2 linked regions of the Drosophila melanogaster genome follow. The protein of the gene in region 1 purifies or fractionates together with the protein of each later gene. This does not show direct contact. Each region holds a gene or a part of one and is shown on either strand. Other genes may lie near its edges.

Evidence for each region.
Region 2: the proteins of cpx (region 1) and nSyb purify together in Drosophila melanogaster (affinity purification with western blotting, with the first as the bait; one study listed by BioGRID). This does not show direct contact.

The regions. Positions count from the first base shown.
Region 1 is NT_033777.3:4,278,665-4,283,401, forward strand, and holds the start of cpx (complexin), read left to right. Parts: upstream 1-1,556; 5' UTR 1,557-1,692; intron 1,693-1,720; exon of another isoform or gene 1,721-2,158; intron 2,159-3,040; exon of another isoform or gene 3,041-3,339; intron 3,340-3,499; exon of another isoform or gene 3,500-3,818; intron 3,819-3,960; exon of another isoform or gene 3,961-4,009; 5' UTR 4,010-4,170; intron 4,171-4,737. UniProt on the Drosophila melanogaster protein: Positively regulates a late step in synaptic vesicle exocytosis.
Region 2 is NT_037436.4:1,631,613-1,639,611, forward strand, and holds the start of nSyb (neuronal synaptobrevin), read right to left. Parts: upstream 6,063-7,999; 5' UTR 6,021-6,062; intron 6,001-6,020; exon of another isoform or gene 5,947-6,000; intron 5,661-5,946; exon of another isoform or gene 5,658-5,660; 5' UTR 5,208-5,657; coding exon 5,206-5,207; intron 4,398-5,205; exon of another isoform or gene 4,354-4,397; coding exon of another isoform or gene 4,325-4,353; intron 4,073-4,324; coding exon 3,922-4,072; intron 3,848-3,921; coding exon 3,689-3,847; intron 3,626-3,688; coding exon 3,574-3,625; intron 3,296-3,573; coding exon of another isoform or gene 3,282-3,295; exon of another isoform or gene 2,893-3,281; intron 2,195-2,892; coding exon of another isoform or gene 2,178-2,194; exon of another isoform or gene 2,097-2,177; intron 1,894-2,096; coding exon 1,637-1,893; 3' UTR 1,446-1,636; intron 843-1,445; coding exon of another isoform or gene 655-842; 3' UTR 1-654. Other genes in the region: Mettl2 (methyltransferase like 2), read right to left, coding at 6,429-7,242, 7,297-7,460. UniProt on the Drosophila melanogaster protein: Involved in the targeting and/or fusion of transport vesicles to their target membrane. Major SNARE protein of synaptic vesicles which mediates fusion of synaptic vesicles to release neurotransmitters.

The sequences.
Region 1 (4,737 bases):
AAGCTGAAACTGGGAAAATTTGAGTTGTCATCTTTGCGAATTCTCATTGATTGAAAACGACCGTACCAACCATCAAGGCGGCAGTTCTGGCTGCTTTGGACGGCGGGTTTTCAATATCATTATTTGTGACGGGGGACTTATAACTTCAATTTACAAATGCCAATTGAAAATACCTAGAAGAAAAGCAATTGTAAATTTCGCGGCGGCGGGGACACGGCCTCAGCAATACCGTTAGTGTGGGCGTGGCAAAAAAATGTTTAGGATGCCGATAGAAATTAGAAAGACATTATAAAATCAAAAAATCTCTACCCAACATTAAAAAGTGCGGGTATGGCAGTTTGGGCGGATTTTGTGCATTAGAGCCGGCGTGGTAAAAAGTATTTCGGCAAATCGATTGCAAAAAAGACTACAACAAAATTAAAAAAATATGAAAACATTTCCAAAAGTTGTGGGCATGGCAGTTTTGGGTGGATGGTGAGCGTTAGATTGGGCGTGACCACATTTAGAATGAATGGAATTTTCATGTCCAATCTCAACTCTTTAACTTTAATAGTTCCTGACTTTGCTGATCACAAATATTTATACTTTACGCTTCCCTTTACCTGTTGCATACTTTTCAACGAAGATAGTACACCATTTAACGAGTATAACAAGTTGTTAAATCATCCGCACTTATTAATTGTGAGCATATTTGTATAATTCCTATAATGGTATAGACATACTGTTGTAATTAATAAACAACAGTCGAAGAACTCTACTACTAATCTACTAATGATACTTTTAATCACCTAAACGTATCAGTCTATGAAAAAAGAAGCCATATAAATTATCGCGGCTGAACTAAATGCTGCTAAAAATGTCCAGGCGAACGGGTCTCCTGGCTGTCATTACCTCTTAAAAAAGCTGGAGCAGTGAGCAAAATGTGGCCAATTTTCCTCACGTCGTCTGATGATACGGGAGGCGAATGTGCGAAATACGCCTGAAAAAAATAATCATAACTGGGCAAATAGGCGATGAAGCAATCCCACTTTCCCATTATGACGTGTATGCTCTAATTAAATAATTTATATAAATTGCCACCGTTACTCCCACGCAAAAACCCGCAGGAATTTCCTGTTCCGCCGCACTCGAGCTTATCCTGCAGGAGCAGGCCCTGGTCGGAATCCCGGCGTATCGACAACCAATTCGGGCATTAGCTGCTATCAATACGCTTCTTCCGGCGGGTGTGTTAAAAAGCAAGGCCCACAAAGGATGTGGTGCTCACATGTTCAGAAATTAGCGGAGGATAATCTGTCACCGGTTCCGCTTCCGAGCAATCCCTGCCCGTACATGGTGCACTTTATTTATCGCAACGCCAGACTACGAGGCTTATGTAAGCGTGCCAGTCAATACTGATGAGGAATGGGAAAGGGGACTCCTTGTCTAGCAGGGCGTGCAAGAACGCCGTCTCCGGCAGAAGGGAAAGTCGTTATTAACCAACAATTCGGCTAAAAGCTTTCGGCCAGCAAGCTTTCGTTTTGTTTGGGGCCAACTGTCAAAACTGACAGCAGTGCTCTCTGCGTTGGGGACTCTCTTCGCGTTTCGGCGGCTGTTGTTACCACAAGAGCTGCTGGCTACCAGTATAACGTTTTCGGCAGTTAATGTAGTTTCGGTCACCAGCAGCAGCACCACCGCCCCAGAGCGAACTTTTCGGTTTGTATACGGGTCCGTGACGAGTGGCAATCAGTGCGATATTGCAGAGTGTAGCGTGCATTGGTGTGGGGAAAGTACCCAAGCCCTGTGGTTCTCCGTGACCGACTGTTTAGGTAGACCCCACGGTCCGCGGTCCGCCCTCCTTCCGCGCAAGTCCCCCACGCCAGCGGTCTAATGGCCAGTGGACTATGTCCCCAGCCTTTAATGCCCTAGTGGCCAGGTCGTGACTATCATACTAAACAATGAGCTTCGCTTTGTCGAGCCATAAGTAATAAGCAATTTGTGGAGGAAAAATTATCTCACGCTGTGCAGCAAGGACTTGCTGGAGTGAACTTCAGTTGTATACGGGCGAGGAAGGCAGCTAACCTCCCATTCAGTGCCAATCCACCAAGCTGTCTGCCAAAACGCTATGAAATTATAATTGATTGAGCGGAAAACAATGACGCCATCTTAGTCGGCCATATTGGTATGAACACTGTCGGATCTGTGTCGCACTAATTAGAAGTCTGGAGTATTCTCCTGCGCCCTTGGCAACCTTGATAGGAGCTCTTGTCACGACATAGACTTTGACCCGACCACTGTCCGATGGCGGACAGATGAGCGGATGTGGCCAGATCTTTGCAATTTCCTCCTTTAAAGCTATGTGCTTCCGGTCCCGTCTTCCTGCTGCCTGGTCAGCACAGTCCGCCCAGCATGTACACACGAATGTGTGCAAACAAACGAGAGTGGCACTGACAAGCCAACAAAGGCCGTTCCAGTGGGTTGAGGGCGCAGCCGAGGGATGCGGTGCAGTTCGGCTGGTTCTCGCTCCGAGTGGTGATAATGGCTCGTAGTCACAGCGAGCGTCTTATCAGTACGGCATAGCCTGATGCTAAATGTTACAGGAACACTAACACGACCGCCACGAATCGATATCGCGTATACGCTATTCGGCGCAGGCGCCATCTCCCAAATGTAGGCAGCGCTTTTGCTGCTGATTTCAAAGTCAAAAAGTCAAGAAATTGAGACCGAGAAAGAGAGCGAAGGAGGAAGAGAGTGAGAGCGAAAGACATTGAGAGGGATAGAGATAGAGGGGAATCGAATTATGTAACAGACAAAAAATAGCAGTCAGATAAATATATTAGAGAGACAGAGAGATAGAGAAAGGGGGCAGGGTAGGGTTCTTTCAGTCCTGGCGGTCCTGCAATCTTGCCGTCAAACGAGTCCCACCCCCACCATTGTTGCCCTTATCTATGTGAGTGCCTGTGGTGCTCGTTTTCTCTCGGCAAGCCGAGCGGGAAAGCACTCAAACCCGAGCCCGAGAATTTTCGGACGGCGCTAAAGCTCGGTCCCTCGAAGCCCGCTATTCACTGGATTTCGGGGCCGCAGCGGCGCGGTCGGCTCCGACGCCACTGCCTCCGCCAACGCTTTGTAAGGCGCTCGCATGCGGAACAGCGGCAACGAGCCACGTTTACCGAGTTTTTCGTGTAGGGTACTCTGGCAGTGGCGTGCAGAAGAGTGCGAACATAGCATGAAGTAAGAAGCGCCGAGAAAACATAGCGACGGTCTAGTGAAAAGTGGCAAGCAAAGCAAAAGTATTAAGCACACACACACTGCCAGTGCGCACGGACACACACAGCACACTCCCGCACCAACACACTAGAGCAAGTGCGTGTACATAGAGGGTTTGTGTGGGGCACATATGTGCCCGCACGATGTCGATACTGGCTCACATTGGTAGTATTTAAAAAGCGACGAACGGCCCGAGCTCGAAAGCACGACTGAAAACCTAAATTGATTAAGCGAATTTGTTCTATCAAGCTAATTCAATTGCTCGGCCAGTTGACTGAGTGATCCACTGCAAGCGCAGCCTTATGTAATCGGAATCAGTGAAAAAAGCGAAACACGGCGGCCGCCAAAGGAATACGACTCCAGGACCCGAGTCAAATCGAATTTGTTTGCTGCGCGTATTACGTAAAGTAAAAATCTTGTTTGCTTGTGGCACCCGCCTCCTCGAACCCCTCCCCACTCAAAAAGGCACTTACGTGCACGCTCCCATAAAAGAAACCCTAATAAAGAAATATCGATAAAAGCAACGAAGCAAGTGGCACGCCAGCACAATAACGACGACGACAAGCGAAACATCGGTAACAATGCGACCCCTGGGGGTGTTGGTGTGTGTGTCTGCTATTTTTAAATTAGCGCCAGTCCTCTAGGTTCGGCTCGACCCCGCCGAACCCTGAAACCCGTAACCCGGGAGCCATATAACCCTGGAAGCCCAGAACTCTGCACTGTGAACAACTAAACGACGCCTTCTGTGTCTCTGTTTGTCTTTCAGGAAGCCTATCTGCCTAATGCACGCTCTTCACAGTGGATTTCCTTAGAACAAACACATTTCGCGCAGACTAGTCGGAACTTTGCTCCTCATCAACCAAGTCCACGCACTCACAGGAATCTTCAAGCAAAATCTGAAAGGAATACTTGCTGAACTAAGGCCAGGTATGTGGGTGGTCCATCAACCTAAAAAGTGTCGAAAGTATGCCCCAAGTATGCTCCAAACTTGCTCGCACTTTATTTCAAATATTTGTGCAAAGTGTTCGTCCGCATCCTGCACATTTTACGCGTAGATTGCTCGAAGGCAGCAAAAAGTTCCAAGCTCATTACGCAATCGTTCGAGTCCTCAAAATAATGCGAAGACTATCCAAAGACGAAACGATCGCAGTGCTCCATAGCTGCTTCGCCTGAGGCGTATACATGATATACTTGAGGTATACTTACCCTTTTATGGCCAAGGCCAAATGCTTAGGAGCGTGGGTGCAGCGTTGGGTCGGAGTCACACACAGCTTATTTGCGTATTTATTGGCTTTGGTTTTCTGACTGGATCCCGTATTAGAAAACTTTAAATGTAACTGGATAGCCAACTGAGAAGAACTTTGGGTCAACTTGAAATGTTTAGTGGCCCAAAGATAAGAAGGTGTTCCTGTTGCGACCACACCTTGGCCACCCGACCATAAAATTCTAAGCACGAATGTCATAAATTTCGCTTCTATTTAGCTATATTAAGTC
Region 2 (7,999 bases), on another chromosome or scaffold:
GATTCAAATTCATCTTTTTGGATTATACATTTCGAATATCATATTTGCGTAACTTTACTTAGGAACAAAGCTTAGATTTCATTTCTTTGGTTTCGCGTCTGTTCCGAAATAGTTATGATTCTGTTAGTTTTGTCTAGTCGATTTGCTAAGGAAACTGAGTTCAAAGAGCTGCGAACATCGGGAAGCGACCGCCTGTCCTCCTGCTTCCACTGGCGCTCCTTGTTGCCAGTGCAGCGTAGAGATGCTAGTTCCGTATAGGGTGGTAGTACAGGGTAGTGGTTGGAGTCACTCGTAATATTCAAGTTCCATATATTTGTATTTGTATTTAGATTTGTATTTATATTTATAATTATATATACCGTTTTATGCATGAAATAATGTAACCATAAACAAATTAGCAACAACTTCAAATTGTCCGGAGCGTCTGCATTAGATTTAGTATTAATATTATGACGTAAGTTACTTAAAACCTCTCACACCAACTCGTGCACATCGTCTAAGTGAAAATTATTATTGAGTTTTCATTGCAATTCTCGAGATTTTCTAGTTTAACTGAGTTTTCCTTTCTTGGTTTTCTTTTGTCTTCTCTGCTTTGTTTTCGCCCGCTGAAGGAGCACACTAATCGAGAAACTTTCGTCCTGGCAGCGGGATTGCTTACACGCCGCCGTGATCGCCAGCTCCTGCCGATCCTCCTGCTCCTGCTCCGTCTCCTGCTCCTGCCGCATCCACCAGCGATGACTGTCCTCCGGCTGGCTGCTGCGGTGGCGGCGGCGGTGGCTGCATGTACTGTGGGGGATACTGGTACTGTGGCGGCTGCTCCCCGCCTATGAGTCCAAGTTTATCTGTTTTAAAATGATGCAAGAATTAGTAGGGCACGACATGTGATGGCTCTTTGCGCTCTTTAGCCAATCTCAGACAACGATACACGAGTATACGCCAAAAATATTACACTTCAAGGCTTAAAAGCTCACTCATGACGGAATATAGCAAGTGGACATGGGATGTGGACGGTGGGTGGGGGCGGACAGCAGGGACAACTGCATCGAACAGGTATGGATATATATATATATATATACATATATATTTATGTACATTTAGGCAGTCACTGGAAGCTGTCTTCCTTTGAGCCTCCCGAAGAGAAGTCCTCTCGCTTTTGGTGCAATAAACTTAGGCCAATTTTAAAATACATACAACATTGAATTGTAAAAATCAAATAATAAGGCACTAATCACACATAGACATCGATTAACTCACATACATGCGGCTAAGGCTGGCGGTAAACGATGAGACACCGTTTACAGCCAGCCGAAATAATATAAAACCAGAGGAACGGCGGAAACGGAAGTGGGAGCACAAACGGAAACGGAAGTAAGAAGAAGCGCAGGTGTCAAATTACTGGGTATGATTATTTGCATTGATATGTTGCCGTTTTTTCGTTTGCTTACAGTGTATCGGATTAGATCGATTTTGTCAATGGTACAAAGAAAGTGTGAAATGTTTTCTTTTCGATTTTGATTAATTTTGACTATGGTTCTACGGATGCGTCTTGGTGGTTAATCGATGGCTGATTAGTTTGGTTGGTTGGTTGGTTGGTTGGTTGGTTGAATGTTGGTTTTCAAGAGAGATCGTGAGCGTTCTATTGTCCAGTCGCCACTTCATTCGACGGACTCTGTGGGTGGTCGGTCAATTTCTCGGCCAATGGTTTCTCGAGTGTCGGTGGTTCAGATTTTAGATTTTGTGTATGGTGGTGTGGTTGTAGTTGTTGTTCTTGTTGTTGTAGTAGTTGTGGTGGTGGTGGTGGTGCTGAATCAGGTGCAGTTGCCGATGCCGGAGCCACCTGCTGCTGCAAGGCAGGAGGCTGCGGAGCAGCATTATCATCCGACATGTACGGTTCTACGAGAAATTTTTCGGTGAGTTCATGTTGTTGTTTAATTCAAATCGATTTGTTTTCAAAGCGAGCAGATAAAGATGATAACAATAAAGTATAAATATAGAAACGGTTTTGAGCGATGTAAAACAAAGGATTTATCAACTGGTGCACCTAGCAATAAATGTGGCGTATGAGTAATAAATAAAAGATTGCTCTCGCTGTTTACCTCACACACAAAGTGTTATATTGGGTAAATTGATTTGCTTATGGTTAATAAAATTGTACAAAGCTGAAGCTTTCTGTGTGATTATTCTTCGTCTTTCTCTGTAATTGTTCAAAAATATGGTTCGGTGTTGAGAGTGTGTCAAATCAAGGTGAAAACATTAAAAAAAAACTTAGGTAAATGAAGAAGAATGGCAGTACTTTATGCTTTTGCTGTGGTTCAGTGGCACAAGAAAGGCTGGCTTTTCCAATCCGAAGGCCGTTGCGCTTGCGTGGAGGCTTAGTAACGAGTAACGAGTAACGAGTTGCGTGAAGGCTTAGTATTGAGTAACGAGTTACGAGAAGGGACTACTTTTACTGGGGAAGTGGATTCAAGTTTTGTATTTTACACAGGACATGGCACAGTCGTGTGTCTGTGGCTGGGGTGCTGCTGCCAATATCAGAACGAAACAAACGAAAAACGGATACGGATACGGATACGGTTAACGAAACACTGAACAAACCACAAACTTTACGATTACGGCTTACGGGAGTTAGAACTAGCTAGCTAGAACTTAAGGTCCTACGGATAAGGCTAACGGGCACCATTGAGTATCGGTCCATCTCCGCCAGATCGGCTTCTGGCCGGGGTCCTTCCATTGTCGTCCAGACCCTCAGCCGCAACCCACATGGACGGAGCTGGCGGATCCGATACTCGGCGTGATCTCAACTTGATTACTGGTGGTGGTTAGGCAACGTAACGAAACGAAACAACACAGGACACGACTTTCAGTGGGCATCAAATGAAATCTTTACCGAACCTGTGCGTATGCTCGTATGGAACCAGATGATGTTGGGCTTGGGCATACATGGTACACAATACAAATACTCGCATATGTATGCCACTTAGCATTTAGTTATTGTTCTAGTGGTGGCTGAAGCGCATGACATGATATGATCGATCGATCTATAGTTATGGGAATTTCGCAAGGCATCTAGGTCGAATCGGTTGAGCGAACGGTCAGTTGGACTGTGAGTTCGCAGCTCTACTCATAGCAGTTGTGAATGAGTTGAATTTGGTTTCGGTTTTGGTTTCGATTTGGATTTCGATTGGTTCTTATTGGGTTGATTGATTGGCTTTTGATTTGGTTTCGATTTGCATTGCATTGCGGCTAAGAACTAAATTCTTACGGATTAGATAGTTAGCAATCTACATAAAGTTACCTAGAGAAAAAAAGTGGCGGAATTAAGAACGCAATTTAGATTCGGTGTGTAGATAAACGAAAGCGATTTGGGCCAACGAAATCAGCGCTAAATCAAGGCGAACTCAAAAGACAAACACAACTGGGTAACTGGGTGATCTTGAAAGTATCTTCGGTTCTGTGTGTGCGTGGTGAGTCGAGTGGTGTGGTGTGGTGTGGCGTGGGTCAAGGTCAGTTTCTCTGGGGTATGTGTGTCCCAGAAATGAGTGCACCAAGTTCGCCCAGGATCTGTCAACTTACTTGCAATAATGCCCACGACAACCAGGCCAATCACGCCCATGATGATCATCATCTGTGCGGAGAAAACAAAGATTGAAGTTCGGTCCGACAAGGTAACTGCCATCGTCGCACTTACCTTTAAGTTCTGAAGCCAGAATTTCCTCTTGAGCTTGCCCGCCTGCTGCTCAAACTGCGAGGCACCCTGCTGCAAGGCATCGGCACGGTCGTCCAGCTCCGACAGCTTGCTGTCGCGCTCCAGCACCTTCTCCACGTTCGTGCGCATGATGTCCACGACCTGGTCGGGGATTCAGGGTTGCAGTGGTTAATGGAATGGCTGATCTGTGATCGACTTTCAGTCCCGGAACTCACCTCATCGACCTGCGCCTGCGTCTGCTGCAGACGCTTCTGTGCCGCGATCTGCTGCGGATTGTGTGGTCCGCCCACAATCTCGCCATCGCCGCCCTCTCCGGCCGGGGCTCCGGCATTGGGTGGTGCATCGCCAGCTGGTGCAGCGTCCGCCCTGCGGAGGAGGTCGTCATTAGTCATCGGATGCGAGAACAAGAATAGCTCGGGCCAAGATTAATCAACTTCCAACGGGGGCTCTCGCATTAAATACAGTACTTAGATTACACAAAGAGTGGGTGTGGGTGGGTGGTTACGAACGACTATGGTTTCTAGCTTTAATCGAAATATCTCCAAGATACGTGTGGGCTACGGACAGTGCTGGAGTATAGTTCTAGCCAGCTACCCTTTAACTTGGAGAGACACTTACTGTTCCTTGTTCTTGTCTTTCTTTCCCATCTCAGACCCCCAAAAACTTTGACCTTTAACTCGGCTTCTGGGCTCTGCGGGGCCAAAGGAAGGGAAATTGTTAATTTTAAATAAAAGAATTACAATAGGCGAAGCTACTTATGCTGGACTAGTTTGTATGGTTTCTACGTGATGCATATTTTTTAGTGAAACAAACAATAGAGTGAAGTATCTCAGTATTATCCATAGTCATTTGGTCATTTGGTATTGGTTATTGTTGTTGGCAAAATGTTTTCATCGAACCGTATTTCCCTTTCCCACGACAAAGAAAAAGAAATCAATATCTTACCCTAATCCCTACGACCGGCGACAATTGGTTTTTTTTTTTTACCTACGTGGAGGGAATATTTTTGGATTTCTCAACTTTCCCCGGCTTTTATTGGCAAAATCAATTTTATATGGAATCAAAGAGCATTATCAACAACTTGTATGTGTGTATAAGACGAGCTTTTCTTTTGATCATGACACATATCTTATGTTTGGTTTCAAGCGACCAAAAGAAATAGGTGCAACTTAGTTTGCATGTCCTGACTCACGGGTGCGAATCGTGTTTTTATTGATTTTGCGGTGTGAGAGACTTGGCCATGTGATGCCACAACGTCATCGCCAAGTGATTCATGCCTAGCGAACCGAAACGGCAGCTGCAGCTGGCCCGTGTTCCTTTTACGGATTTTACGGGCGCGAGCACTTGGACAAATGACAAATGAAATGAGCGACCCATGCTGCGTATACTTAATGCGGCTATCAAACGAGCATTCCCTCTGTGACGGCGAAAAGCAAGGCGGGGAATCGAAACCCCCATTTCCCCGCCGGAAAACGAATCAATAACGTCCATCCACTTACATGGCTCTGGTGGCTGTGTGGTTGCTTCTGTGGTTTGGCTGGTGGTGCTCTGGTGGCCTCAGCGAATTCGGCTGTCGATGATTAGGATGAAGGTACTCTATGCACGATGCACTTGGCCTCTTTCACTGTCTTCCACTGGCGCAGGTCGGGATGTGGGATGGTCAGTGGGCGGTGGTGGCGTTGGTGGTGTAGGTAGTGGGTGGTGGTGCAGCTGAACTCTGTTTCGTTGTTTTTGTTCTAGAGGGTTGCGCTCTCAGTGCCGCTTCTCTCTCTCTCTCTCTGTTTCTCTCTCTCTCTGTCGCTCTTCCGCCAGAGCTTTTTCGCCCCGTCGTCAATGAAAATTCACTCCACTCCACGGGGGGATTGGCTGGATCTGGATGATGTGTATGTGTGCGGGTAACACTTGCCACGACAGCCTTTCGCAGGAATTTTCTGGCTCAGCGCTGGAACTGCTGCTGAATAGAGTGCGAAAATAGTTGCAACTATTTTTAGTACATCGGTTAATGCTTGAAATGGGCAGCTATGGGATTCTAATTGGGACGTAAGAGGACTATTTGGGTGGCAGCAACACGCCCAGCCATGAGGCATGTCCTTCCTCATTTCCGTTGCATACCCCCAGGGGCACCTAAGATGTCTTCAAAATGCAAAACGTTTTAAAAATAATTTCAAGTGCCCAACTGGCCAACGTGGGCTCAGAAGAAAAAATCAATGAAATTCTGCACGACAAGGGTTTTCGCTGACTTTGGTTGACATTTCGTTTGATCTTCGTTTTCCTAATCAATCAGTTTTAGCACTTTTGATCAGAATCACTTTACTTTTGCTCGGGCAACTTGAGTTTACAAAAACCAGGCTTAACTAATATTTTACGAATTTTTTTACGCAGCACCAGGAAAATTTTCACTTACGACGTTTTTGGCCAACTGCGAAAACTTGCAGCTTTCCTAACTGTTATGTGTATTTGGGGAAAAAGCTGCCTGGATGGCCAGCAGCGAATGGTGTTCCAGCGAGAAGCTTTTCCTTAGCGATTTCCAAGTGCCGATGGCCAAGGGGTGGGAAATTTAAAAACAAGCCGGGCTTTCCATCAAGAAAAAGAAATGCTCAAAGTTCTAGTAATATTACAGTTTGAAGTTTTAACTTTGTATTTTTAAATATATCGTGTAAATAATTATATCAATTGATTTGAACAAGGTTTAAAATGCACAGAACTATTCGTCTAAATTGATTTAAAGCGGTTTCCTGAACTTTGTCTGAATCCACACGCGGTACATTTTCAAGCCGCGACAGCGATTAACTTGCAGTCTTCGGTCCACAATGAGCTGCTCCTCCTGCAGCCCCGCTTGAGTCATCATACCCCGCAGTTCTTCCTCCGTGAAGAAGTACACCATGGTGCCGTCGCCTCGCACGTAGAAGTTGTCCTCCATACACTTGCCGCTCTTGAAGCGCAGCTGTGCCAGGTCGTATCGTCCGTAGTCGCGGAAGAGGAGCAAGCCACCGGGACGCAGGTAGCGATAGCAATTGTCCAATACCCGCTGCATTTTCTTTGGCTCAATTGCGGACAGCACAAAAATCATCACAATAATGTCCTGTGAGTTTTCCTCGAAGGGCACCTGCCAATGATCCAGCGTGGCATCCATGACAAACACCTCGCAGCGCTTCTCGTCGAACTGCCGTTGGCTTCGCAGGATTTCAATGGCCCGGGCGGAGAAGTCACATCCGAAAACCTTGAGCTGCGGTTCAGAGCTGTACTGTAGAAGGGGTAAAATTGTGTTTCCTACTCCACAGCCCAGTTCGAAAATGCTACGTGGTTGCAGTACCGCCGAATCCGCCGCCAGAGGAGCTAGTTCGGGGAACTCCGTAAACAGCCAGTGGCGATCCTTGAAGAAGCGGTTGTCGTGAATGCCGTAGAAGGAATCCCAAAACTTGGGGGCGTCTGTCTGAAATCGCTCCTTCTGCTCCGCTTCCATCTTTGAGGTCGAATTCTTGGCTACAGCCGCCTTCGCGGCCAGTTCCTGCTCTTCATCCCATTGCACGTGGTCCCTGTGAATCCATGTTTAGAGGGATTTTCATGAGTACTGAACGGCAGATAAGTACCAGGCGTTAAACTCGAACACCTCTCGCGCGTCGGTGAGCACCCGGCTGCCCGCTCCCGACGGTTTTTTACGCTGGCGAGTGTGTTCCCAACTTTTGCTGGCCAATCTCCGGAGGATTTGCCACCCATATTTACCAAGCATTGTGCTTGAAGACGTCGTCAGCATCCGTGAGCAGGCGGGTTCCGAACTGCGGTCGCTTTTCGTTCTCCGCGGCGGGGTTGTCACTCATATCGGACAGGAATGACGGTATATATCACCTGTTTGTGCGATCCAAATTATATATTTTGGTAAACACGCCGCCAGTGTGGCCGTGCACCGATCCAATAAAGTTAAACCGTTAGTATTTTCGAAGCGGCTCTCTTCCGAGCGGGAAATCGGATGTACCCGTTATCGCCCTTTTTTCCAAAAGCAATTGTGAAATATGTGTTCTATGTGTGTTTAGTTTGTGGCGTGTTGAGTACGCATCGAGTTTTTACCGAAACCCCTTAGAGAAAAGGGAAAAATAAAGTTGAAAATTGCGGGCAAATGTAATCGTGCTGCCAGACCATCAATAGTTTATTTTAGGGATGTACTCGTGACTGAATACCTTGGCGGATATCGTTTCATGGTTAAAATGCATGATATAAAAACTGGTAAATTAAATATGAAACCCGTAGGTAAGTAAAATGAATATGTATTGTTATGTTTGCGACTTATATCCATAA